Macaca mulatta: one gene and its partners. The protein of the gene in region 6 purifies or fractionates together with the protein of the main gene of each other region. This does not show direct contact. Links are inferred from orthologs where the notes say so. Each region holds a gene or a part of one and is shown on either strand. Other genes may lie near its edges. The genes, in order: PFDN4, PFDN6, PFDN1, VBP1, PFDN5 and MAPK7.

Region 1 (4,294 bases), on a different chromosome or scaffold from region 6:
CGAGATAATGTTCGATGGTGACAAACGTGATGATGAAAATACAATAGCTTAGGAGAAGAAAGTTTTGGGGGCCTGGGGAGTGAAGGAGGCTTCTTTAGATAAAGGTCAAAGGTAGCCTCTCTGAGGAAAGAACATTTGTATGTAGGATAATCAACAGAAATCAAAGTGCAGATCTCCTTATGGTCAAGAACTGGATCTTAGAAGGCAGAACTTTAGAGATGAGAGTACTGAATCATCTCATCTAAACATTCTCCCCAGCAAAATCATGACCAGTTGAGAGATAACGATGTGTTACAAATGTAAAGTACTCCAGATTGTACATGATTTGCTTTTCATTAAACTCAAAGGGCTCTCTCTCTCTGTCTCACTCTCACTCACTGGCATACATGTTTGTTTTCTCCCATTGAGGGCAAAGGGGAAAAGCGTACATGTAAGATAATCTATCGGGAATTGTTCATAACACTGGAAACATCTACAGGAGGACATTACATCTATCATGTGACTCTCAAAGGCTTCAAAGTTAACGAAGATCTTTTATATTTTGGCCACCACCTACCCTTCTACAAGTTCTTTTCCCATCATGGCTCAAACTTTCTTCCCCTGATTATCTGCCATCAGGCCTTCCTTGTATTAAATGTACTCAGAGTCTCTGCAGATACTCCTCTCTAGAATGCTTCATTCTCTATCCAACTCTCCCTTTCTTTCCTTACATAATCTCACAGATCTCAACTTAAATGGCACTTTCCCAGGAAAGCCTTCTCTGATCTCAAAACAGACCTCATTTTGGCCCTCATTTCGTAAGTACTTTTCCTTCACAGTTCTCACCAGAGAAACTAGTTTTCTGTGTGACTATGTGAGTAATGCCTGCCTCTGTCCTGGAACATACGTTCTTTGGGGCTATAAGAATAAGGGGAGAAGAACTTCCTCACTGGTCACCGCAGTTGTCTCCACTTAAAACTGAGACTATGCCATATTACATGCCCCCAAAAATTTACTGAATCAATGAAAGGGGGAAAACAAAAGTTGATAATTAGAAATTTTGCAATCAAAATCCAGGGTTCAAATCATTCTTCTGCCATTTCCTCTTTGACCATTTACTTCACCTCTCTGCACTTCAGTTTCCATACCTATAAAACGGAGTGAACCACAACTAGTATCTTTCAAGGAATTAAAGGCCATACCTAACACCAGAGGGCCCAATTTCACAAACTAGAGGTGAAGTGAATCTCACCAAGTTTCATACTGTTTTGAATCACCATGGCCCTGGACCCTACTCTGGGACTCAGTAAGAATTTTTGGATGGCAGAATAGTAGGGTGAGCAACACATCTTGAGTTAGCTGGGGCGTTCCCAGTTTTGGCAGTCCCTCAATTTCATATAAAACGGGGCAATGGGTCACCCTACACCAGGCACAGATGGCATAGACTATGTGGTACTGGATGGGGGTAAAGCAAAGGAAGTTCTAATGTGGTCTTAAAAGTGGAATGAATGCAAATCCCGCCAGCCAAGAGATTCTCATGGAAGACCCCCTATAGCAGTTTAAAACTCAGACTCCGGAGTCAGAATGCCTGTGTTTAAATGCTAGCTTTGCCTCCGTGCCTGTTTTCTCATTTGTTAAATAAGGATAAAAACAGTATCTCCCCTAAAGTACATAAGATAAACAATACACCCAAAAAAAAAAAAAGTACAGCTATACCTAGCACACTGTAAAGCTCCCCAAATTGTCAGTCGTTATTTCCTTCCCCCTCTCCACTTTTCTTTTTCTTCTGTCTAGCTATCTTTACACATCTGGGAAGCCACGGATTTATAAACCCGACATGGAAGTTTAGCCTGCTTAGTGGTTACATAGGTGTGCTTTGAGAAAAACCAAACCAAACCTGAGTTCGAACTCCAGCTCAGCTTCTTACTAGCTGAGTCACTTTGGGGCCCCTAACTGCTCTGTGTCTAAGTTTCTCTACCTGCAAAGTGGGGAGGAACCCATTGCACTTGCTGAGCTGCGGGGAGGATAACGGATAAAGGGCCGGCTGCTGGGCCGGCAGATCGTCCGTCTTCAATAAATACTGGTTTTAGCCTGGAGGACTCAGGGGCATAGAGCGTGGACATGGGCAGCTCCGGGTTGGACACGGGGGCTCTTGGGCCTGATAATCCGGGGATGCAGGAACCTGCTGTCCCCCTTATGAGCTGCGTAACCTGAGGCAGGTGACTTCCCATCTCTGGGCCTCAGTTTCCTCACCCGTAACCACGGTCCCAGCAGCAGCTACCCATAACCAATGAGGCTAATGCGATCATGCCGGTGCAACGCCCGAGTCAAGGCCAACCACACTCAACGAGACCTTCGACTTCCCACACCTTAGGGGCAAGGCTGGGGCTGCAGATTCCTCAGACTCCCCGGGGGCACCCTCGGCATCGCGGGAGGCGGCCCAGGGCCCTCGGAGGCTCCCGGCCCCAGCCCCGGCTCCCCGCCTCGGCTGGCCAGGTGCCTAGGAAAACGCTCAGGGCGCCAGGCGCGGGCAGGCCTTGCCGCGGGGCCGCTCTCAGGGCCTCGGCCTCGGCCTCGGGTCCCACGCCGGGCTTCGGAGCTGCGCACCCCCAGCATCCCGCGCCCCAACCCCCGCGGCCGAGATTCGGCGCCACCCGCGCATCCAGAGCCCCGAGCGCCCCACTCACCGCCTTCTTCATGGTGGCCGCCATCTTGGGACTGGACTACGGCACGCGGCGGGGAGGGCCGCAATGGCGCGCTTCGTCCTCGAGCGTTCTCTCGCTCCCGGTCGGCCCAGAACTCCCCGCAGAAATACAACACTGTCTCCACATTCCCTCCTCTTGGACTTTTGGCTAATGATTCCAAACGGCTGGGACGTAGGGAGGAAATGTGACCTGGAAAGACTTGGTACATGCCAATTAAAGGGACAGGCAACCCCCGTGGGCCGACATAAACACGGGGGTGTGGCGAACGGCTCCGGCTGCGGGCAGCAGGGTGCGCGTCCCAGGGTACGCGTCCCTCAGCGTGGCGGGGACCAGCTGGGGCAGGATCAAAGGGGAGGCTGGGGGAATTTTTCTGCATCCGTCCCACAGACTTGCATTGAGAAAGCTGACCTCCCTGTAAAAGAGCTAGGAACGAATGGCCTTGGCAAATAGGGTGTGAGACTTACGTGCCATGATAATTCAGGTGGTGTAAAGGAGGAGGCGCTCCTATCTTTTAATGTAATTTTTTTAAAAATTTAGATTCAGGGGGTAGGTGTGCAGGTTTATTACACGGATATATTGCATAGCGCTAAGGTTTGGGTTTCTAATGATCCCGTTGCCCAAGTAGTGAACATAGTACTCCCTAGGTAATTTTTCAACACCTTTCCCCTGCCTCCTTCCCCGTGTTTGGAATCCCTAGCATTTGTTGTTCCCATCTTTATGTCCATGATTACCCAGTGTTTAGCTCTCACTCGTAAGTGGGAACATGAGTGGTTGATTTTCTGTTCTTTGTTAATTCACTTGGGATAATGATGTCCAGCTGCATCCATGTTGCTGCAAAGAACATGATTTTGTTCTTTCTTATGGCTGCATAGTATTCCATGGTGTATATGGACCACGTTTTCTTTATCCTATCCACTACTGATGGGCACCTGGGTTGATTCCATGCCTTTGCTGTTGTGAATAGGCAATCCTATTGATTAATTTACAGCAATATTACTGAACAGTTACTGTATATTCTGACACTTGTATCTCCCAATTAGTAATTTTTTTTTTTTTTTTTTTTTTTTTGGCCTTAGGATCTCTTTGTACTCCTAGAAATTATTGAGGACTCCAGAGAATTTTTATGTGGGTTATTTATCGATATTTGCTGTATTAGAAATTAAAGCAGAATTTTAAAAATGTAGTTATTAATTCATTTAAAATAATATAAAACTCCATTCCATGGTAATAAAAATCACACTTTAAAAATACCTATATTTTCTAAGACAAAAACAAATTGAGAAGACTGTCATCGTTTTACATTTTCACTGATGTCTTTAATATCAGGCTTAATGGAAGGTTAGATTCTCATGTGTACTTCTGCATTCAGTCTCTCCAAATATACTGTTTAGTTGTCTAGTTGTAGGTATGAAAAACCCCAGCCTCACACAAATCATGCAGTTGGGAAAGGGAGGCCCTCATGGATGCCTGAAAAGGTCTCAGGGACTCCCGACGTTCATGGACCACAGCTTGAGAACTGCCCCTGACAAGCCACCTCCTTTCTCAAAGTCCCAATTTCCTCTTTGGTTCAATGAGGGGAATGAGACCTTACAGCACCTTGTGCTCTCCCC
Region 2 (3,067 bases), on a different chromosome or scaffold from region 6:
GACAAGGAAATGGCAGAACAACTTTATGGACAACATATAAACTTGGGAGGACTTATACACTACAAAGCATTACGTGCTGGGATTTTAAGTCAGTTTAAGCTACATTCAAGCAAATTCTAGGAAGACAGAGGCTGAAAAGTACCAATAGAGATGCCAGGGCTGCTGGCAAAGAGGGTAACCACATTTCATCCTGGGGCCTCAGGTTAGAGAACTGTGAATTCTTTTTCAATTGAACTGACATTCCTAGTAATACGCTATGTTGTAAATGCCCTTCCAAAATAATCATGCCAACCAAGATGAGGGAAAGTTAAGGGTTGTATATACAGGCAAGAAGTAGGTTTGAGGACATTTAGGATTTCACTTTCAAGAAAGAAAGAACATCGTGCCACAAAGAAGTTCCAAGTGCAAGAGTTTGAACCTGAGGGGGTAATACAGGTGGTGTGTGTGAAGGTGGAAGGGACTGTGGGGATATGACAGAAGCGCCTGGTCAGGAAACGGAGCCAGGTGTTTTTACATTTTATTAGCTACAGTATAGATGCTAGAGCTGCCTCATTCCCTCCCCTCCCCTCCCCCCACCAAGGGGTCAGGCCTTGCCAGGAGCCCCTGCCTTTGCCGCCTGGGCCCGCTGGAACTCCTGCTGCAGCTGAGCAAGGGTCTCCCTCTGTTGCTCTGACTGCCGCTCAAGATCCCGGAGCTGGGATTCATATCGCTTACTAAAGAGAGACAAGGGAGACAAGTAGAAAGGGAGAAATTAGTAGGACTTACTAAGGAGGGTGCTAAACGCAAGAAAGAGATAGGTGGAAAACTTGAGATTAGGGAAGGGAGAAGGGGGGTTAAAAGGGAAGGAAGGGGTTGGAGGAACTGGAGGACTAGGGGCCACTATGGAGAGCTGTTCTGCAATGGTTCAACACCTCTACTCCAATGGTTCACTGCATCACAGGGTGCAGCACACAGTGGTGGAATAAAGACTCACATTTCAGCTGTGATATAGTCCAGCCTCTTCCCTACTGTGGCCCGAGCCTCCCCCAGCTCCTGTTTGACTAGCACCGGACCCAGAAGTTTAAAGACCACGTTGGACCCATCCAGCAGGGCCAGTTCCTGATGGAGGGATGGGACATACGTGATCAGAACCATGGCTAGTACAGGTCCCTCCTCGCCCCACAAATCCCAGTCCCTCACCTCTTTCACGATATTATTTTCTGTTAGTTGTGCTTCAAGTTTCTGCCTCCCCGACATGGATTTACTCAAGTCTGGGGATAAGAGGAAAGGCAAGATTAGAAACATCAATCCTAGTCAGGTGGATATGGATCTGAGGAAGCAGAAAAAGATGGGGGCAGCGGGTCAGTGAATAGGGAAGAGTACTGAAGCGGGAAAGTCTCTGCACGCAAGGGCCCAGATGGGGCAACAAACCTTATCTCGGTAATGGCTTTGGGTTGTGAGTGCATTGGGCGAGGCCATACCGACCCTGCTCCCTTACCCTTCTGTAGCTGTTGATATTTCTCCACTTCTCCCTGCAGCTTCTTCTGGATCAGCTCCGCCATGGCGGGGATGAAAGCCTACGGGGAGCGAGACAAGGGCGCTGCGTCTCACTCTCTGGAAGGTACCTGAGCTCACTTTTCTGATCTCGCCTGCGGAAATGATAGCACTCTTGAGAGGCAGCCCTGAGGGGCACCGCCACCTCCCCCCGGTCCTGGGTATCGACTCCACCCCGTCCCCAGGATATGGTGGGCGAAACGCAAGACCGTAAGCCTCTCAACCGAAATCCTAACCTATTCACGTTCTGCTTTCAGTAGTAATAAACCCGGAAGTAAACGAGGAATGCCGGGAAAAGACTGCGCCGGAAGTTTCTTTCTGACCCTTGATGGGAAGTGTAGTTCTGACATGTTTAGCGAATGGAGTTCTGCTACAAAGACTGGACTCGGATATTTTTAGGCAAGATGGGGAAACTAACCCGGAAAAAGAAACCGCACCGCTACTTAGCCCCTGGTCCCGGGCCTGCCTTTCTTTTGTAAGTCACTCTTGCATAAGCTGCCGCTCCCGATAAGGTGCCAAGAGCTCTTCCGCCCCTCTAAGGAGAGTGTGCCCTCACTCAAGATGGCGCCTAGAGAGCTTCAGACCTGGTACGCTACTGATTGGATGAAGGATAGAGGGCTTCCGGGAGTTTTCAAGCCGACTGTGGGGCAGCTGAGAGGAGTTTTGCACGTGGATCGCCGTTCGGATGGGCGAGATGGAGACAGCCCCCAAGCCGGGCAGGGATGTCCCGCCCAAGAAAGACAAACTTCAGACCAAGAGAAAGGTATCGGCCTCCCTGGGTGGGAAAGGAAGTTTTTTGCTGCGGGGTCGGGGGGGCGGGGCGTGGGTGCGGAGTATCAGAGTTCCTGATCTGCTTGTAGAAACCGCGGCGATACTGGGAGGAAGAGACTGTTCCGACCACAGACGGAGCCTCTCCAGGGCCTCCTTGTAACAAGAAGAATCGGGAGCTCCGTCCTCAGAGACCAAAAAATGCTCACATATTAAAGAAGTCTCGGATCTCTAAGCAGCCTCAGGTCCCGAAGAAACCCCGAGAGTGGAAGAACCCGGAGTCCCAGCGGAGCTTGTCCGGGGTGAACGTGGAACCTAATGGGTGGCGAGGCAGGCCGCCTTGTGCTTTGAAAGGGTTGGGGTCAACCCAAGGCTGTCTACTAACTGCGTTCTCCTTTCCCCTAGGCCCAAGATCCATTCCCAGGCCCCGCCCCCGTCCCTGTGGAGGTGGTCCAGAAGTTCTGTCGTATTGACAAATCCCGAAAGGTGAGGTCCAGCCGGAGAGTTGGGAAGTGTTGGAGGCAGGGAGTGTCTGGGTGAGTTGAATGGAGGCTGGGCTAGGTAGCTCTCCTGTGACCCCACTTATCCTATGGTTCTTCTGCCACTCCTCCCCACCAACAATGTTATAGCTACCACGTTCTAAAGCCAAAACTCGAAGCCGACTTGAGGTGGCTGAAGCTGAGGAAGAGGAAACAAGTATCAAAGCTGCTCGTTCTGAGCTGCTGCTTGCTGAGGAACCGGGGTGAGTGGGCCCTAATCTGGACCC
Region 3 (4,247 bases), on a different chromosome or scaffold from region 6:
AAAAACAAGTCCATGATTTAGTAGGTTAAACATTTTACAGGAAACATTTATGTCAAATCCAAATATATTAAAACAAAACATGCTAGCCAGAGACAAAGTTGTGAAATTTACCAAATATCAATAAGTCAACATAATTGTAAACGATCAAGTCACTATACTAAATACTGAATTTACAATCATCAGAAGATACAAACAGTGTGAAGCAAAACAAATGCACATTAAATAATAACCATATTAAGAAGTATTCAAGGAGTAGTAAAAGAAATAAACGCAATAGTCAAGGATGAAACCCAGAGATTCAAAACAAGAACCATAAAAGTAATAACTCACTACATTTGTATTGCACAATTAGGTTTCAAAGCACTTTCTCACATTAGTTTGAAATATTAATATGGGAATATTAATATAAGAATATTAATGAGGAAATATAATATCTAATTTATGCCTCTCAATAATGCCATGAGTTAGCATTGGCAGTTTCATCATCCACAATTTACAAATTAAGTAACTAAATGAGTTAAGAGATAAAAGTGGCTTGCACAAGTTTGAACAACTATTAGAGGGAAAGGGAGGTGTATTTAAAGACATTTCTTCTAACCCCTTAGTTTAGCAATCTTTCCATTCCACTGTCTATAGTAATATTCATAATATGAACATTTTTAAGAGGAAGACCAAAAAGATAGAAAAAATGCAAAGCACTGGCAAAATAATTGCATCAGGCCAAATTTGACCCTTGCGTACACTTAGTTAACTGGAAAATAAACAGTTCTTGGATACTCTTGTTGAAGTGCCTGGAATGACTTTCATATGCTGTCAAATTGGTGCCTTAATAATTTGTGACTGCAATGTACAGCAAAGGTTACTACATAATTTTTATTGTGACCTTGTTTTCACCTACTAGTAAGATTTTGAAAGATTTACTTTGGAGAAGGGGAGGGGCCTGAAATGTCCTATTTGTCTCCACCCAAAAAACGGACCCTGTAACAACATTAGAAGATAAAACCTTTAAACAAGTTTTTAAATTAATCATTTGTCAAAATTATTCAGTTTAAGTTTGTAATCATTTTCTTAGTTTGCATTCACTGTCCACATTTTTCAAATGTAGCAACAAATTCAAAAGTACCAGGAGGAAAATCCATTCACTAAACCCTGATTTAAATCGGTACTTTTAATTTAAAAAAAGGTAAATTTTTAGAATGCACAATTTTGTTTTGAAATGTAAAATTTCAGGTATTATCTGACTGCTCTGTACAGCTTGCTAAGGAAGCTAGTATACCGTTAAAGATGAGCTAGTACACCGTTAAAGATGAGGGAATTCCACCTAAGAGCTAAATTTACAAGATTCAAGACAAGAACAAAAGCAAGACACAAACACATAATATCCTCAGAACCATAACAAAAGCTTCATTTGTTAGAAGCAACAGCTATTTCGGCTGTCCTATTTCTTTTGCACAAGTTGACCAGAGAGACAGTCTTAACTAAGATGTTGCTCATCTGAAGAATCCAAAATAGTGGTCAAAAAAGTGTGAGGTAGCCGGGCGCGGTGGCTTACGCCTGTAATCCCAACACTTTGGGAAGCCGAGGCGGGCAGATCACGAGGTCAGGAGATCGAGACCATCCTGGCTAACACGGTGAAACCCCGTCTCTACCAAAAATACAAAAAATTAGCCGGGCGAGGTGGCGGGCGCCTGTAGTCCCAGCTACTCTGGAGGCTGAAGCAGGAGAATGGCATGAACCCGGGAGGCGGAGCTTGCAGTGAGCCGAGATCGCGCCACTGCACTCCAGCCTGCGCCACTAGCGAGACTCTGTCTCAAAAAAAAAAAAAAAACAAAAAAGGTGTGAGGTAAGACAGAGAATACTGGATTCTAGTCCCAACCTCTGACAGACTCTTCTAGCACTGGTTCCTTTTCTAGAAAAGTAGATTTAAAATAGATAAATTCTAGAGTCCTTTCCAATCCACCCCACCGCACAAAGCATACTGGTTTGGGGTCATTAGTGGTGTTAGAATGCTGATCATTCTTAGACAGCAAAAATATGAGTAACAACACATTATAAGCAACTGAGGAAAGCAGGAAACCCAATTCCTTCTGATACCGGTTTTATTTGGAAAACTTTACTGGTTTTGTTGTTTTTTTGACAAGTCCTTCAAAAGAAGGTTTTGTTTTGTTTGTTTTTTTTTTTTTTTTTTTTTTTTTTTTGACAAGTCCTTAAAAAGAAGGGGAGGGCCCAAATCTTGAAATGAACATTGCTGTTACAATGCCTGGTTTTCCGAACTGTAGATACCGCAACCTTTCAAGGTATAGAACCGAATAAACGGCCTAAAAACAAAGGTTGGACTTGGAGTTTTTCAAAGCAAATGAGGCAGAATTACGGATGCCACAACTCAGGCAAGGGGTCCGAAGGCACCCCCATTTGAAATGCTCTCTTTGGTTCTTACTATGAAAGTGAGTCCCTGAAGCCTCCAAACGCAACGAAAGCTCTCTAGAGCTCAGAAAGACTGCACAGGCCCGAGATAGGCCCGCAGACTTACCTCACCCAAACCGGCTCCTACCCAGCAAGAGCCGCTCGCCCCCCACCCCAGTTTACGGAGACGCAGTGCGGCCTTAGGACTCTGGAAAACCATTCCCTAGTCCACTGGACCCTCCTTCCTTATGCAAGGCTCGTGCCTCACTCGATATTCTTGCCTATAGTCCCCTCAGCCTCCAAAGAGAAGGCCTCCGCCTGCCCAAGACCCTCTTTTACCTTCTTCAACTCAAGATCCACGGGGGCAGCCATGTTGGTGTATGCGCCTGCGCAGTGGGAGTTGGCCTGAAAGAGGGTGGGGGAAGGGCGCGCCTCACTTTGTGCATCCGTCCTTCTTCTGCGCCTGCGCATGAGTTGGACTAACCGGGCTTCCTACCTTTCTATGAGAATTGATTAACCCCTGAAATATTTGGGTTTCGGATTCAGTGTCTCCACTATCTGACCGGTCAGGTCTGGCTTGCTCCTCCACATCTTCCAGACATAGCCCAACGCGCAGATTTCCCATGTGGCTTTAAGCAGTTTGCCAGCTAGCTTAGTATATGCTGCTAAACTGGGATGTATGTAGATGAGGTCAAACCCTCATCAGTCGATCAGAATCCTTCAGCTAGTCGCTGTGCTGTCAGGGATCAGTAAGAATAAGTCCAGAACCTCAGGCATGACAGTTTGGGAAAGACTACCGGAAAGCTTGTCTGGAGTGTTCTTTCCAAGACGAACTTACTACTTCCAAAAGCTTCCCAAAGACTTTCTAGGCACAGTGGTTCAAAAGAGAGGCTGAATACGTTTGTTTAAAAAAAAAAAAAATGCAGGTTCTCTGGGTCTCATCTCAAACTTACTCAGAATCTTTGAGAATGGGGTCTGGAAATTTGCACTTTTGCAAACTCTCCCAGTGAGCTAATGGTGCAACTCCTCTGCGGATCACTTTTTTGAGAATCTCTGCCATAAAAGGACCTGGCATTTGAACCAGAAGAATAGATAATAATTGACTTTTGGAAATGGAAAAAAAGAAATGTTTACCTACTCTAAAAACTGTTATGCTAAGAGAAAGTGCTACATAAACAATTAGGAAATTTATTTTATTTTTTTTTTAAAAAGAGAGTGAAAGAAAGAAAGAAAAAGAAAGAGAAAGAGAGAGAAACAAAACAAACTGTTAGGGAGATGAAAGGGCAGGGAATTTGGAACCAGCCTGATCCAGATTCAAGGCTTGGTCCACCTTTAGCTTATGTCTGGTTCCATTTACTAATTGTGTGACTTTGAGCAAGTCACTTGGATATTTTGTGGTTTTGGTTTTTTGTTTTGTTTTTTGGTACGTTTGCTTGTTTGTTTGTTTTTTGAGACAGGATCTTGCTTTGTCACCCAGGCTAGAGTGCGGTGGTGCAATCGCCGCTCACTCCAGCCTCTACCTCCCGTGCTCAAGCAATCCTCCCACCTCAGCCTCCTGAGTAGCTGGGACTGCAGGCACGCGCCACCCACACCCAGCTAATTTTTGGATTTTTCGTAGAGACAGGTTTTCACCTTGTTGCCGAAGCTAGTCTCAAACTCCTGAGCTCAAACAATTCGCTCGCCTTGGTCGCCCAAAGTGCTGTAGTGCTGTGATTACAGGCTTGAGCCACCGCGCCCGGCCCTTTTTTTTTTTTTTTTTTTTTTTTTTTTTTTTTTTTTTTTTTTTTTAGCCAGGGTCTCGCTCTGTCACCCAGGCTGGAATGCAGTGGCACGATCTCGGCTCA
Region 4 (3,500 bases), on a different chromosome or scaffold from region 6:
ACTACTTGGGAGGCTGAGGTGGAAGAACTGCTTGAACTCAGGAGGTCAAGGCTACAGTGAGCTGTGATCATACCACTGCACTCTGGCCTGGGCAACAGAGAGAAAGCCTGTCTCAAAAAAATAACCAACCCACTATTAAAATAGGTAAAACTCAAGAAAGTTTTCCTAACTCACTATCTCCAACTCTACCATTCTCTTTTAAAACACTAGACAAACACTGTTCTCATCCAGAACACCAATGTTCACTGATGCTTCCTCAGTGCTTCGAATTTTTACCCCTTCTCCCCACATTTAGGCCTAGACCATATGTTAAGCTAGAGTGAGTATCCTGCTATATACCACAGTTGTAGAGTTAGCAATATAACTTTTTTCTTTTTTTTTTTTTTCGTCTATCATTAATTTACTAGTTAGAAGAGCAATGTAACTTTGATACACAAATTTCCCTCTCTCCCAGGACTCGGTACCAAGGCTCATTTTCTTTTCCTTTTTTTTTTTTTTTTTATCTTGAGACAGGGTATCACTCTGTTGCCCAGGCTGGAGTGCAGTGGCACACTCACAGCTGACTGCAGCCTCAACCTCCCTGGCTTAAGCAATACTCTCACCTCAGCTTCCCTAGTAGCTGGAACTATAGGCATGCACCACCACACCTAGCTAATTTTTGTAGATATAGGGTTTTGCCACGTTGTCCACACTGGTCTTGAACTCCTGGGCTCAAGTGATCTGCCCACCTCAGCCTCCCAAAGTGCTGGGATTACAGGCATGAACCACTGCACCCCACCCCAAGGCACATTTTCTTCTCTATCTGTAACCTCCCTGTAGATGATCTCAAATCCAATGGCTTTTTCTTTTTCAAATAAACTTTTACTATCACAAAAGCAGTACATGTACATTGTAAAAAATTAAGAATACAGATAAGCAAAAACAAGAAAAATGCCATATTCTAACTACCCAGAGATTACCACTGTTAATATGCCTTTAGTGTGGACTTCTCTAGATACTCCTGTGCATATATACATTTTTTTCCAAAATAAGAGTATACTGTTCTTAATGATTTCTATCTTGCTTCTGTCCATTTACACCCTCCATCTTTCCATGTCAATGACTTTTCATCTCATCTAATACAAAGTACATATTCAAATTTCTACAACTGTCACCAAAATCAAATGAGAAAATACATCTACAAACTTCTGTACCTTTGCATAAATGGTGCCTTATGCCCAGACCACCCTTCCTCACTTTAGTCTGCCTCCAAACTCATAACTAATCTTTGAAATTCTACACAGGTATCTGTTCCTCTTAGAAGCTTCCTCTGAACCTCCTTGGCCCCTCCAGATTAATGAGGTGTTTTGGTACAAAGTAATGAGTTACCATCCCCTGTAACTCATTACTTTGTACCGAAGTACCTCCACTGCTCTACTTTGTGTGCTAATTTTATTTATATACCTATAATTTCCCCCCAACCTGTGTCCCTGGTTTTTTGTGTGGTTTGTTTGCTTTTTAGACTGGATCTCGCACTGTTGCCCAGGCTGGAGTGCAGGGGCATGATCACATCTCACTGCAGCCTCAACGTCCTGGGTTCAGGTGATCCTCCCACCTTAGCCTCCAGAGTAGCTGTGACCACAGGTGCATGCCACCATACCCAGCTAATTATTATTATTATTATTTTTTTTGAGACAGTGTCTCACTCTGTTGCCCAAGATGGAGTGCAGTGGCGCAATCTCGGCTCACTGCAACCTCCACCTCCCGGGCTCAAGGGATTCTCCCAACTCAGCCTCCCGAGTAGCTGGGATTACAAGCCCGTGCCACCATGCCCGGCTAATTTTTTTGTATTTTAGTAGAGACGGGGGTTTCACCATGTTGCCCAGGGTGGTTTCAAACTCCTGAGCTCAGGCAATCCGCCCACTTCAGCCTCCCAAAGTGCTGGGATTACAGGCACAAGCCACCGCGCCCAGCCTAATTATTTTTTAATTATTTGTAGAGACAGGGTCTCCCTAAGTTGCCCAGGCTAGTCTTGAACTCCTGGACTCAAGAGATCCTCCCACCTCAGCCTCCCAAAGTGCTGGAATTACAGGTTTGAGCCACCATGCCCAGTCCTGTGTCCTTGTTGAAAGCAGATACTGGATGTTATTTCACCCAAAACAGTATGTGGCATCTAGCTGGCATTCCATAAATATTTATCTCACAGAAGAATGCTGGCACATGTACAAAACAGAGATCTACAAATATTTATTACAGTGAATTGACTTTATAAGCTATATAAAATTATGTAGGGAAATAAAGAGTTGAGAGTAAGGATACCTTTTTTCCTATGCCTATTAGTTATGAAATCTTGGGATTTCATAACTAATTAAGTCTTGTGCCCCAGACCCTGTGGGTCTCTAATCTTGTTGGCAAAATTAGAAGGATAAACTAGACATATAAGATGTTATGATTTTGAAAGCTTTGGAATACAGTCTTTAATAACCATTCTATTATGTTTTCAAAACCACATTTAGACTGGCAATACCAAGTGTTGGCAAGGATATGGAACTGGAACTCTTGTACATTGCTGGTGGGAATTTCATATGGTACAGCCACCTTGGAGGACTTGATATCTGAATATTTTATCATATGTAAATTATATCTCAATTTTTTTAAAGTTCAAGCCATATACGATTTTCAAAACTTAGAAAGTTTTACACTTACCTTCTTTTCTTTTGAGCAAGGTTGAGTTCCATAAACTTATACTTCTGGTACTGTTCATCCAACTTCTTTAATACTGTATCTGCAGTCTCATTCCCAGGCTGTTTCATGAAGGAATCTACATCTTCCTTTAATATCAGAAATAATACTTTACAAATTTTAGAATTCATGCCACTCATCAGATTTTTTGACTGCTTTGTTTTTAAAACATAAAAGAAAAACAGCTTTTCCTCCAAAGGTTTGTTTTTAACTAAAAGTACAGGTTAAGCATCCTTATCTAAAATGCCTGGGACCAGAATTGTTTTGGATTTTAGATTTTTTTTTTTGATTTTGGAATATTTACATTATACCAGTTGAGCATCCCCAAGCCAAACATCCAAAGTCAAACATGCTCCAATGAGCATTTCCTTTGAGCATTATATTGGTGTTCAAAAAGTTTTGGATTTTAGAGCATTCTGGATTTCAGATTTTCAGATTTAGGATGCTCAACTTGTAGTTATAAAAAGTTAGAGACAATTTCAGACCGTATATATATATTATATAGCTAACTTATTCTTTCACTTTCCTCTTCATTTTTTATTTATAAATAGGAAAAGAAGAATGACTTTGCCCACCATTTATGCATTTCCCATGCATCCCTAGTAGTAAATATGAAAATACTAACAATCAAATACATTGCCTATTCATGCATCCTATTCACAAAATGATTTTACAGGTTGTATGTCAAGATTATCAATTTTATTACTTATTTTTAATTCAACAAGTTTTGCCATAGAAATCATACTAAATATGGTTACTGGGTTCCCAAGGCAATCCAC
Region 5 (4,298 bases), on a different chromosome or scaffold from region 6:
CATTCCATCCTCATTAAAAAGGAGCTCCACCAAAGCACAAAAATGATTTCCTTCCTCTAAATTTCTCAAACACTCAACCCAGGAATCTACAGATAGTGATTATGCAATACACAGATTCTAAAGATTCCAAAGAGAAACTAAGACGTAGTTTTACTCCAGCAAAGGGGACACCCCCGTGGTTCACTCTGCAATCCACGTTCTTTATCATGGAGATAGACAGGGTCAAGAGGTGCCCCAGGAAAAACTTACCCTGTTTCATGGCGTGCTTTTCCTGAAGAGCTGGTTGGATTTTCTCCATCTGTTTGGTTAGAAAATCTATCTTCCTCTTGAAAAAGTCCTTGGCATCCTCAGCTGTCTACAAGATCAGAGGTGAATGAGGGGCTAAAAGGAGACTCCCTCTGGCCATGTTGCACTCTAGAACTTCCCCTAAATTTCCCTTCCCTGTTCAGAGGGGCATCCACATGCTCTCACTCACCTTCTCTACATAGTACCCAGTTCCCACATCGATGAGCACATGTTCCACATCATGCAGCTTCCCAGGGACATACATCTGAGAAGCAAGTATTAAGGCAAAAACTAGCCCAGCATGAGCCATGATTCCGCCAGCCAGCCTGCTTGGCCTCCAAAGACCCTTTTCCAAAAAGCTTCAAGGCATAAGGACTGAATAATCTGGAGGCCTTAGAACAATAACTCCAAATGGAAAGAAGACTGAGAAGTTGGTTCTTTAAGGAGAAAATGATGTATGCTGGAACACCCTTTTGTTCTGCCTCATCCCATCTCTCACCCTCTAAGCAGTTCTTGCAATTCTTCTCATTAGCCCCATCAGAAAGACTAGATATAATGTTTTCCTACTGTTGTAGAGTACTACAAGTGGAAAGCCAGCCTCATTTCCCTTAACACCCTCAATCATGAAGTAGATAATTCCTACCGAAGTTCTTTTTTTGTTTGTTTGTTGAGACAGAGTCTCGCTCTGTTGCCCAGGCTGGAGTGCAGTGGCGCGCTATTGGCTCACTGCAACCTCCGCCTCCCGGGTTAAAGTGATTCTTCTGTCTCAGCCTCCGGAGTGGTTGGGATCACAAGTGTGTGCCACCACGCCCGGCTAATTTTTGTATATTTAGTAGAGACGGGGATTCACCATGTTGGCCAGACTGATCTTGAACTCCTGACCTCAGGTGATCTGCCAGCCTTGGCTCCCAAAGTGCTGGGGATTACAGGCGTGAGCAACCGTGCCTGGCTAATTTTTTTTTTTAACCATTCCCTACTACACTACTATTCCTGTGCTCCTTTTAGCCTGTCAGTTCTCAGACTACAGATTAAAGGTGCCCTACTGCCATAACTTGTTCATTCAAGTAAAACACTGAACAAGTGGACACAATCCAGGTTTCTTAGTGACAGTTTAGAAATGAGCCACAATTAACAGAGCCAACCTCCCTGTTCCTATATCCTCCTATTTTTGTCTATTACCTGTATCTTCTAAGATATTAGCAAAGTGTAAACCACCAGCTTTATCTCCATATTAATGTTCTCAAATAGCAAAGGGAAATATTACATCTCAACTATACATACTCCTTGGTGTTCACAAGGCATTAGCTGGATGTTGGTGTGAAGTTAGATAAAAGAGCTACAAAGTGTGTAATAAGAGTACTCTTGGCCGGGGGCAGTGGCTCACGCCTGTAATCCTAGCACTTTGGGAGGCCAAGGCAGGCAGATCACGAGGTCAGGAGTTCGAGACTAGCCTGGCCAATATGGTGAAACTCCATCTCTACTAATAATACAAAAATTAGCCAGTCGTGGTGGCGCGTGCCTGCGGTCCCAGCTACTCAGGAGACTGAGGCAGAAGAATCTCTTGAACCCAGGAGGCGGAGGTTACAGTGAGCCGAGATCGCACCACTGCACTCCAGTCTGGGCGACAGAGCAAGATTCCGTCTTTAAAAAAAAAAAAGGGTGTTATCAAAATCATTGTGGGGAGAGGATAATCTGAAGTACTGAAGTAATCAAAACAATCCCCCTCCCTGCTTTTTGGAGGAGTGAGGGAGAAAGGGAGAAGGCAGCAGGTAGCCGTTCCTGTGGAAAGGATACAGAACTCGTCAGTGGGACAAGTAATTCTTTCCCTGTGAAAGCAATGAAGACAAACACCTGGGGAAGGTTAGTGGCTCCAATGTAAGACGTTAAAGAGAGTTCCAAGAGGGCACAGCACCCACAGACAGTGTGAAAAGAACGGAAACAGGGGCAATAGAAGCAGAGGAACGTCCTGTACATTTCAATTCTAGGTAGGCAACATGCAAAGGGTTCATGAAGCGGTATACGATATGTAATGGATTTTCTCGTTTCAGGTAAGAAAAACTGGATTAGGAGGTGGGACGAGAGAAGCAGGCTTGCCACTTTAGGTTGCCCTCACCCCCCTACCCCATACCCTCGTTGCTCTTGTTCAGCACGTTCAGACAGTCCTTGGCTTCCACATACTTGGTCTGTACCACTTTGAGCTGGGCAATGGACGTGGACAAGAACTCCACTTCCTACAGAGAACGGGTATAGCGGGTCAATGAGAGGGCTATGGGGAAAAGGGAGAGCGGCCGGGGAGGGGGCGGGTCCTGGGACCGGATAGAGGTTTCGCCTGGGCAAGGTAGGCTCCCAACTTGGGACCGGGCGCAAGGAAGTACGCGTGGGCAGGGGGGATGTAGAGCGGGAAAGAGGTGCCTATGGGGCCCGTCACTACCTGGTCCAGCTGGTTCTTGAGCATTTCTAGCTGCGGCAGATTCAGCTCCGTGATGTTAATAGACTGCGCCATGTTGGGAAGGAGGACTAACGAAGAGGAAGTCCCTCGGCGAGCAACGCTCTAGCCGTCCTCTGCGCGTCTCGATGGCGCCAGGAGGCCTCGCTGCGCCATACAGCTCTATGATCCTCCGTCCCGGAAGGGAAGGAGGGGCTTGAATTTCTCAGAGGCTGATCTGTCAGTTATTTTCATAAAATATTCTAAGCCTAGTACAGTAAAGTAGCAGCAAACAGGACTCCTGCCCATAGGGAACTGCAAAATCTTAAAGTTCTCACGATACAACCACGATATTACAAAGTAGTGTATGCTACTCCACGTGGGTGGTATAAGCTACTAGATAGCAGGCTGGGTTGCTATGGTGACGGCTCCTGGGGCCTCGTCCTGCCCCTCTCTACCCCACCTGCTTGTGCTGCCTGCTGGTACCCCGCCAGGTCCGATTTCAAATATTCCTCCCCGCACAGCAGGGAAATTCTTTATATTTTATTTTATTTTTTTTTTTGAGACGGAGTCTGGCTCTGTCGCCCGGGCTGGAGTGCAGTGGCCGGATCTCAGCTCACTGCAAGCTCCGCCCCCCGGGTTTACGCCATTCTCCTGCCTCAGCCTCCCGAGTAGCTGGGACTACAGGCGCCCGCCGCCTCGCCCGGCTAGTTTTTTGTATTTTTTAGTAGAGATGGGGTTTCACCGTGTTCGCCAGGATGGTCTCGATCTCCTGACCTAGTGATCCGCCCGTCTCGGCCTCCCAAAGTGCTGGGATTACAGGCTTGAGCCACCGCGCCCGGCCATGGCAGGGAAATTCTAAACTATTTTTCCCAGATGGCCTCTGAGGCCGAAAGGCAGGGAAAAAAAAACAAATAACAACAACAAAAAAATCCCTTGTCAGACCGTTCTGAATTGTTCTTGAAAAAAATCAGGCATGGCCGGGCGCGGTGGCTCAAGCCTGTAATCCCAGCACTTTGGGAGGCCGAGACGGGCGGATCATGAGGTCAGGAGATCGAGACCATCCTGGCTAACACGGTGAAACCCCGTCTCTACTAAAAAATACAAAAAACTAGCCGGGCGAAGTGGCGGGCGCCTGTAGTCCCAGCTACTTGGGAGGCTGAGGCAGGAGAATGGCGTGTACCCGGGAGGCGGAGCTTGCAGTGAGCTGAGATCCGGCCACTGCACTCCAGCCTGGGCGACAGAGCATGACTCCGTCTCAAAAAAAAAAAAAAAAATCAGGCATTAGATTGAAAGCTTGTTGAAGGCAGGAACCAACCATGTTCTCATCACTGAACTAATTCTTCCCCTCTGGCTATGACCATCTTCCCCCAGCCGGAAGTAGGCTGACACCTAGTAGGATCTGAAAAAGGGTTTATAACCCGTTGCCAGTGAGTTGGTGGGAGAACAGCAAGGAAGCACCATTGTCAACACATAGAGCACAAATTAATCAATAAAATGTTTTGGCCAGGCATGGTGGCTCATTCCTGCAATCCCAGCACTTTGGGAGGCCGAGAAGGGCAGATCACTTGAGCCCAGGAGTTTGAGG
Region 6 (4,275 bases):
TCCACAATGCGCAAGTCCATAGAGACAGAAAGTAGTTCAGAGGTTGCAAGGGCTCAGGTGAAAGAGGAATGAGGAGTGACTGTTAATGGGTATAAACCAAAAATAAAATTAGAATGCCCTTTGCAACCATCTAAATGGACTCCCTCCTTGGCCAGCACACCCTAAAATTTAACCTGAAAGACCAGTTCAGGCCACAGTGGGAGATGGGAGTTGGACATGCCTCATTATACCCCTCCAACATTAACATCAACACAGACCATAAGTCTGATAAGAAACATGTCTATTCTCTCTATAGCTGGCTACTGGTAGGCTTCAACTGCATAATAAAACGTAGGTCTCCCGGCCGGGCGCAGTGGCTCACGCCTGTAATCCTAGCACTTTGGGAGGCCAGGGGAGGGCAGTGGATCACTTGAGGTGAGGAGTTCAAGACCATCCTGGCCAACATGGTAAAACCCCGTCTCTACTAAAATACAAAAAAAAAAAAAAAAAAAGAGCTGGGCTTGGTGGCTCACGCCTGTAATCCCAGCTGCTCTGGAGGCTGAGGCAGAAGAATTGCTTGAATCCAGGAGGGGGAGGTTGCAGCAAGCCAAGATCGTTCCACTGCACTCCAGCCTGGGCAACAGAGCAAGACTCATTCTCAAAATAATAATAATATACTTAAAAAACCCAAAAAACCCTAGGTCTCCACAACCCCTTATCATAATCCAGATATTCCTTTCTATAGATAATAACTCTTGTAACCAACTGCCAATCAGGATATGTTTAAATCTACCTGTGACTTGGAAGCCCCTCCTCTTCGAGTTGTCCTGCCCTTTCAGAATAGACATTGAACAGACATTTCCCCAAAGGAGACAAATGGCCAATAAGCACATAAAATCAATGTCAATCTTGCACGTATTGATTTATGTATTATGTCTTCCTAAAATGTATAAAGGCTGGCTGTGCCCCATCTTGGGCACATGTTGTAGGACTTCTGGAGGCTATGTCACCACCATGTCCTTAACCTTGCTAAAATAAACTTTCTAAATTGACTTGAGACTTGTCTCAGATACTTGGTTCACATAAGTTTCTTTTAGGGGCGATGAAAATGTTCCATAAACCACTCTACCTAAAATTAGGTAGTGCTGATGGCTGCTCAACTGTGAATACACCAAAAAACACTCAATTGTACACTATATATGGTATGTTATTAAAAGTTGTTTAAAAGTGAGGGACCCCTCCAGTTATTGATACGGAATGATCTTCAGGAAAAGAGAATATGTTACATTTTGTACACGAAAGGGAAGGTGGGTACGAATATGTATTTGTATTGCTTTTTTCTATAAGCCGCCTAGGAGTGAAACCAAAATTCTTCACTTCTTTCAGCCCTACCCCGTTCCCTTTAAAAAACCTTTCCTTCCAGCTCACACTATCCACCATATCCATCTTCGCCTCCTGGCACTGAGCCTTAGAGGGGCGGTGCTCCAGAAACATTTGCTACATGAATGAACGAATCAACCATCGGATTTTGGGGTGGGTCGGCGCAGCTCGGTTCCAGCGAGGGCTCCGCCTACCAGCGGGCTCCGCAGAGGGACAGAGGCCGGGCGGCCGCCTCGGTTAACTCCGCTGCAGCCCAAAGCACGGGAAACGCGGGACAAACAAACGAGCGGAGGTAACACACCTGCAGGCCAGGAAACCCCCAGGTGCGGTCCAACTTGGCCGGAACCTGCGGAGAGACTCAGCCACCGGAAGTCAGTGGAGGGTTCGGCCGGCCGCTCTAGAATCCTGGAGGACCGGGATCTCTGTGGTTGGCCGTGACGGGCACCCTCTACCGGGGATGACACATTCCCAGAGCTCCTGGGACCGAGAAAATGGTGGGCACAATTCCCGGGGCGGAGGGGGACTTCGGGACCCAGTAGCCAAGATAACAGTCCCAGTCCCGGGCATCTCAGTCCGGACAGTTGCCCGAGCTCATGGGACTAGCTGTGATTGGCCGGACGAGGTCGAGCGCTAGATGGGGACGCGCGCGCTACGTGCATGGGCGTTGCCTTCCATTCACTTGGCGCCCGACTGCCAGTGCGCATGCGTTTGAAGGCGGTGCCGGGCGGGGAGCACACCCCTGTGAAGTGCCGGGCACCCTTTGGGCGGCTCCCGCCGGCTAGCTGGACAGCGGCGCGCGCCAGGCGTGGCTTCCTCGGCCGGTGGGCTAGGATTGGGCGCAGCAGGTAGAAGGGGCAGGACCCTTCGCAGAAATAGCTCAGCGATTGGCCAGGAGCTGGAGGGAGCGTGGTGTTGGGAGGCGGGGCGGAGGGGGACGGACAGGGCAGCTCACGACGCTGAGGTGGTGGCCGCGGCCCTTGAATAAGTAAGTGAGCCACCCTCGGAGACTCCCGCGCTGGGGACGGGAGGCCGGTGAGCCTCGGGACCTCTGAAAGCCTTGAGGAGGCGCGGGGGTGAGTGCGGCCCGGGGGAAACCCAGGTGCCCCGCCCCTCCCTTTCTTCCTGGCCCGCGCCTCGCCTCCCCATCCCCCGACCCTGGCCTGGCCCCTGCTGGGCCCCGACCCCTGGGGTAGCGTGTTTTCCCCGAACCAACCGCGCGCTTCTGGCCCTTGTCGGTTTAGGGAACTGGGAAGTTCCCTGGTCCTGCTCCCCAGCCCGCAGAGGGGACGCTGAGGCCCACGGGAGGCGGTCCCCTCCTCACCCGAGTCTCCACGCAGACACCATGGCCGAGCCCCTGAAGGAGGAAGACGGCGAGGACGGCTCTGCGGAACCCCCCGGGCCCGTGAAGGCCGAACCCGCCCACACCGCTGCCTCTGTAGCGGCCAAGAACCTGGCCCTGCTTAAAGCCCGCTCCTTCGATGTGACCTTTGACGTGGGCGACGAGTACGAGATCATCGAGACCATAGGCAACGGGGCCTACGGAGTGGTGTCCTCCGCCCGCCGCCGCCTCACCGGTGAGCTTCCTGAGCCGTCGCCTCCCAGATGTGGCAGCGTCGCAGGGAGTGGGAAACCGGCCCGTCCCAGACAGCTGGGAAGGAAAGCGGGGTGCGAGTTCTGGCTCCAGTCAACACACGCTGACCAGGACCCTCTGCCTGCCAGGCTCCGGGGAGGCTCGGTTCTCTGAAACTCTGGCCTGGGGGTTTTGCCATCCTGCCTGCCTACTTCCTCCTTAGAAAAATGACAGTCCCAGTTAGACCAGAATGGAGAGCCATTCCTTCGTGTCTAAGAGACAAATGTGTTCTGGAGCCAGACACTGGCACAAGGAACTGGTGGTGGGATGGGTGAGGTCTGAGATGCAGAGGGTGTAGGCATTAGAGACTGAACTCCACCACTGGGCAGCCGTGCAACCTCCAACAAGTTACTAAGCCATATTTCCTTCTCTTTAACATTGACCTATTGGGACCTGCCCTGTAGGGGAGTTGTGAAGGTCACATTTAATAATGTAGGTAACATGCTTGGCACATAGTAGGTACCCAGTACTTGGTAGCTGTTGTCATTTGCATCCTAGAAGGGAGGTGTTGATAGGGGCTGGGTCGACTCTGCAGTTTCTCCAAGGTATCCTCTGGTGTGTCCCTGTTCCCTGCTCCTCAGGCCAGCAGGTGGCCATCAAGAAGATCCCTAATGCTTTTGATGTGGTGACCAATGCCAAGCGAACCCTCAGGGAGCTGAAGATCCTCAAGCACTTTAAGCACGACAACATCATCGCCATCAAGGACATCCTGAGGCCCACTGTGCCCTATGGCGAATTCAAATCTGTGTAAGAAGCGGGATGGGAGAGGGAGCCAGACTTGGGACTTTTCTGAAGGCTGCACTCATATTGCTGAAGTTCTGGAAGGGCAGCTGAATCTAATCTGAAGCAGGCTGGGAAAATTCCCGCAGTCCTAGGACCAGTTCTCCTTTAGAGTTTTGCCAGGGACAACTGTTATTCCTCAAGAAATGTACAGATGATTTTACAGTTTTATAGAATCTTAGTATGTAGGATGTCAAATGTAGGACATTCCTACTATGACCACACCCTCCTATTCCCATAGCAGACTTCACTAATCAATCACAGAACACTTTCCTACAGACAGTGGACAAGCCTGATCAATTTTCATCATAGTTCTTCAAGCTGCCACTACCAAACAATGGAGATAGCCCCAAAAGGAAACCTATTGGCCAGCCCTGGTGTAGTCCAACCCCATCTTTTATCTGATGGGGAAACTAGGTCTGGAGACAAAAGTGATTTAACCAAGTTCATGGAAAAGTCGTAGAGAATCTAAAACGTGATGCTCTTCTTCCATACCATGCCGTCAG

What was found.
Region 1: the proteins of MAPK7 (region 6) and PFDN4 purify together in Homo sapiens (affinity purification with mass spectrometry; 3 studies listed by BioGRID and IntAct, with this or other methods). This does not show direct contact. The link is inferred for Macaca mulatta from reciprocal best matches to the Homo sapiens genes MAPK7 and PFDN4.
Region 2: the proteins of MAPK7 (region 6) and PFDN6 purify together in Homo sapiens (affinity purification with mass spectrometry; 3 studies listed by BioGRID and IntAct, with this or other methods). This does not show direct contact. The link is inferred for Macaca mulatta from reciprocal best matches to the Homo sapiens genes MAPK7 and PFDN6.
Region 3: the proteins of MAPK7 (region 6) and PFDN1 purify together in Homo sapiens (affinity purification with mass spectrometry; 3 studies listed by BioGRID and IntAct, with this or other methods). This does not show direct contact. The link is inferred for Macaca mulatta from reciprocal best matches to the Homo sapiens genes MAPK7 and PFDN1.
Region 4: the proteins of MAPK7 (region 6) and VBP1 purify together in Homo sapiens (affinity purification with mass spectrometry; 3 studies listed by BioGRID and IntAct, with this or other methods). This does not show direct contact. The link is inferred for Macaca mulatta from reciprocal best matches to the Homo sapiens genes MAPK7 and VBP1.
Region 5: the proteins of MAPK7 (region 6) and PFDN5 purify together in Homo sapiens (affinity purification with mass spectrometry; 3 studies listed by BioGRID and IntAct, with this or other methods). This does not show direct contact. The link is inferred for Macaca mulatta from reciprocal best matches to the Homo sapiens genes MAPK7 and PFDN5.

Annotation. Positions count from the first base shown.
Region 1 is NC_133415.1:107,034,852-107,039,145, reverse strand, and holds the start of PFDN4 (prefoldin subunit 4), read right to left. Parts: upstream 2,801-4,294; 5' UTR 2,691-2,800; coding exon 2,667-2,690; intron 1-2,666. UniProt on the Homo sapiens protein: Binds specifically to cytosolic chaperonin (c-CPN) and transfers target proteins to it. Binds to nascent polypeptide chain and promotes folding in an environment in which there are many competing pathways for nonnative proteins.
Region 2 is NC_133409.1:148,999,055-149,002,121, forward strand, and holds PFDN6 (prefoldin subunit 6), read right to left. Parts: upstream 1,800-3,067; 5' UTR 1,770-1,799; exon of another isoform or gene 1,557-1,769; 5' UTR 1,542-1,556; coding exon 1,478-1,541; intron 1,251-1,477; coding exon 1,180-1,250; intron 1,099-1,179; coding exon 974-1,098; intron 714-973; coding exon 584-713; 3' UTR 501-583; downstream 1-500. Other genes in the region: WDR46 (WD repeat-containing protein 46), read left to right, coding at 2,219-2,296, 2,394-2,603, 2,707-2,787, 2,931-3,043. UniProt on the Homo sapiens protein: Binds specifically to cytosolic chaperonin (c-CPN) and transfers target proteins to it. Binds to nascent polypeptide chain and promotes folding in an environment in which there are many competing pathways for nonnative proteins.
Region 3 is NC_133411.1:149,161,822-149,166,068, forward strand, and holds the start of PFDN1 (prefoldin subunit 1), read right to left. Parts: upstream 2,801-4,247; 5' UTR 2,776-2,800; coding exon 2,743-2,775; intron 1-2,742. UniProt on the Homo sapiens protein: Binds specifically to cytosolic chaperonin (c-CPN) and transfers target proteins to it. Binds to nascent polypeptide chain and promotes folding in an environment in which there are many competing pathways for nonnative proteins.
Region 4 is NC_133426.1:161,513,092-161,516,591, reverse strand, and holds part of VBP1 (prefoldin subunit 3), read right to left. Parts: intron 2,811-3,500; coding exon 2,686-2,810; intron 1-2,685. UniProt on the Homo sapiens protein: Binds specifically to cytosolic chaperonin (c-CPN) and transfers target proteins to it. Binds to nascent polypeptide chain and promotes folding in an environment in which there are many competing pathways for nonnative proteins.
Region 5 is NC_133416.1:60,439,652-60,443,949, reverse strand, and holds the start of PFDN5 (prefoldin subunit 5), read right to left. Parts: upstream 2,801-4,298; 5' UTR 2,789-2,800; coding exon 2,717-2,788; intron 2,517-2,716; coding exon 2,414-2,516; intron 2,112-2,413; coding exon 2,080-2,111; intron 551-2,079; coding exon 476-550; intron 356-475; coding exon 250-355; intron 1-249. UniProt on the Homo sapiens protein: Binds specifically to cytosolic chaperonin (c-CPN) and transfers target proteins to it. Binds to nascent polypeptide chain and promotes folding in an environment in which there are many competing pathways for nonnative proteins.
Region 6 is NC_133421.1:20,590,953-20,595,227, forward strand, and holds the start of MAPK7 (mitogen-activated protein kinase 7), read left to right. Parts: upstream 1-1,475; 5' UTR 1,476-1,816; coding exon 1,817-1,853; intron 1,854-2,053; exon of another isoform or gene 2,054-2,432; intron 2,433-2,600; exon of another isoform or gene 2,601-2,696; coding exon 2,697-2,933; intron 2,934-3,570; coding exon 3,571-3,736; intron 3,737-4,275. UniProt on the Homo sapiens protein: Plays a role in various cellular processes such as proliferation, differentiation and cell survival. The upstream activator of MAPK7 is the MAPK kinase MAP2K5.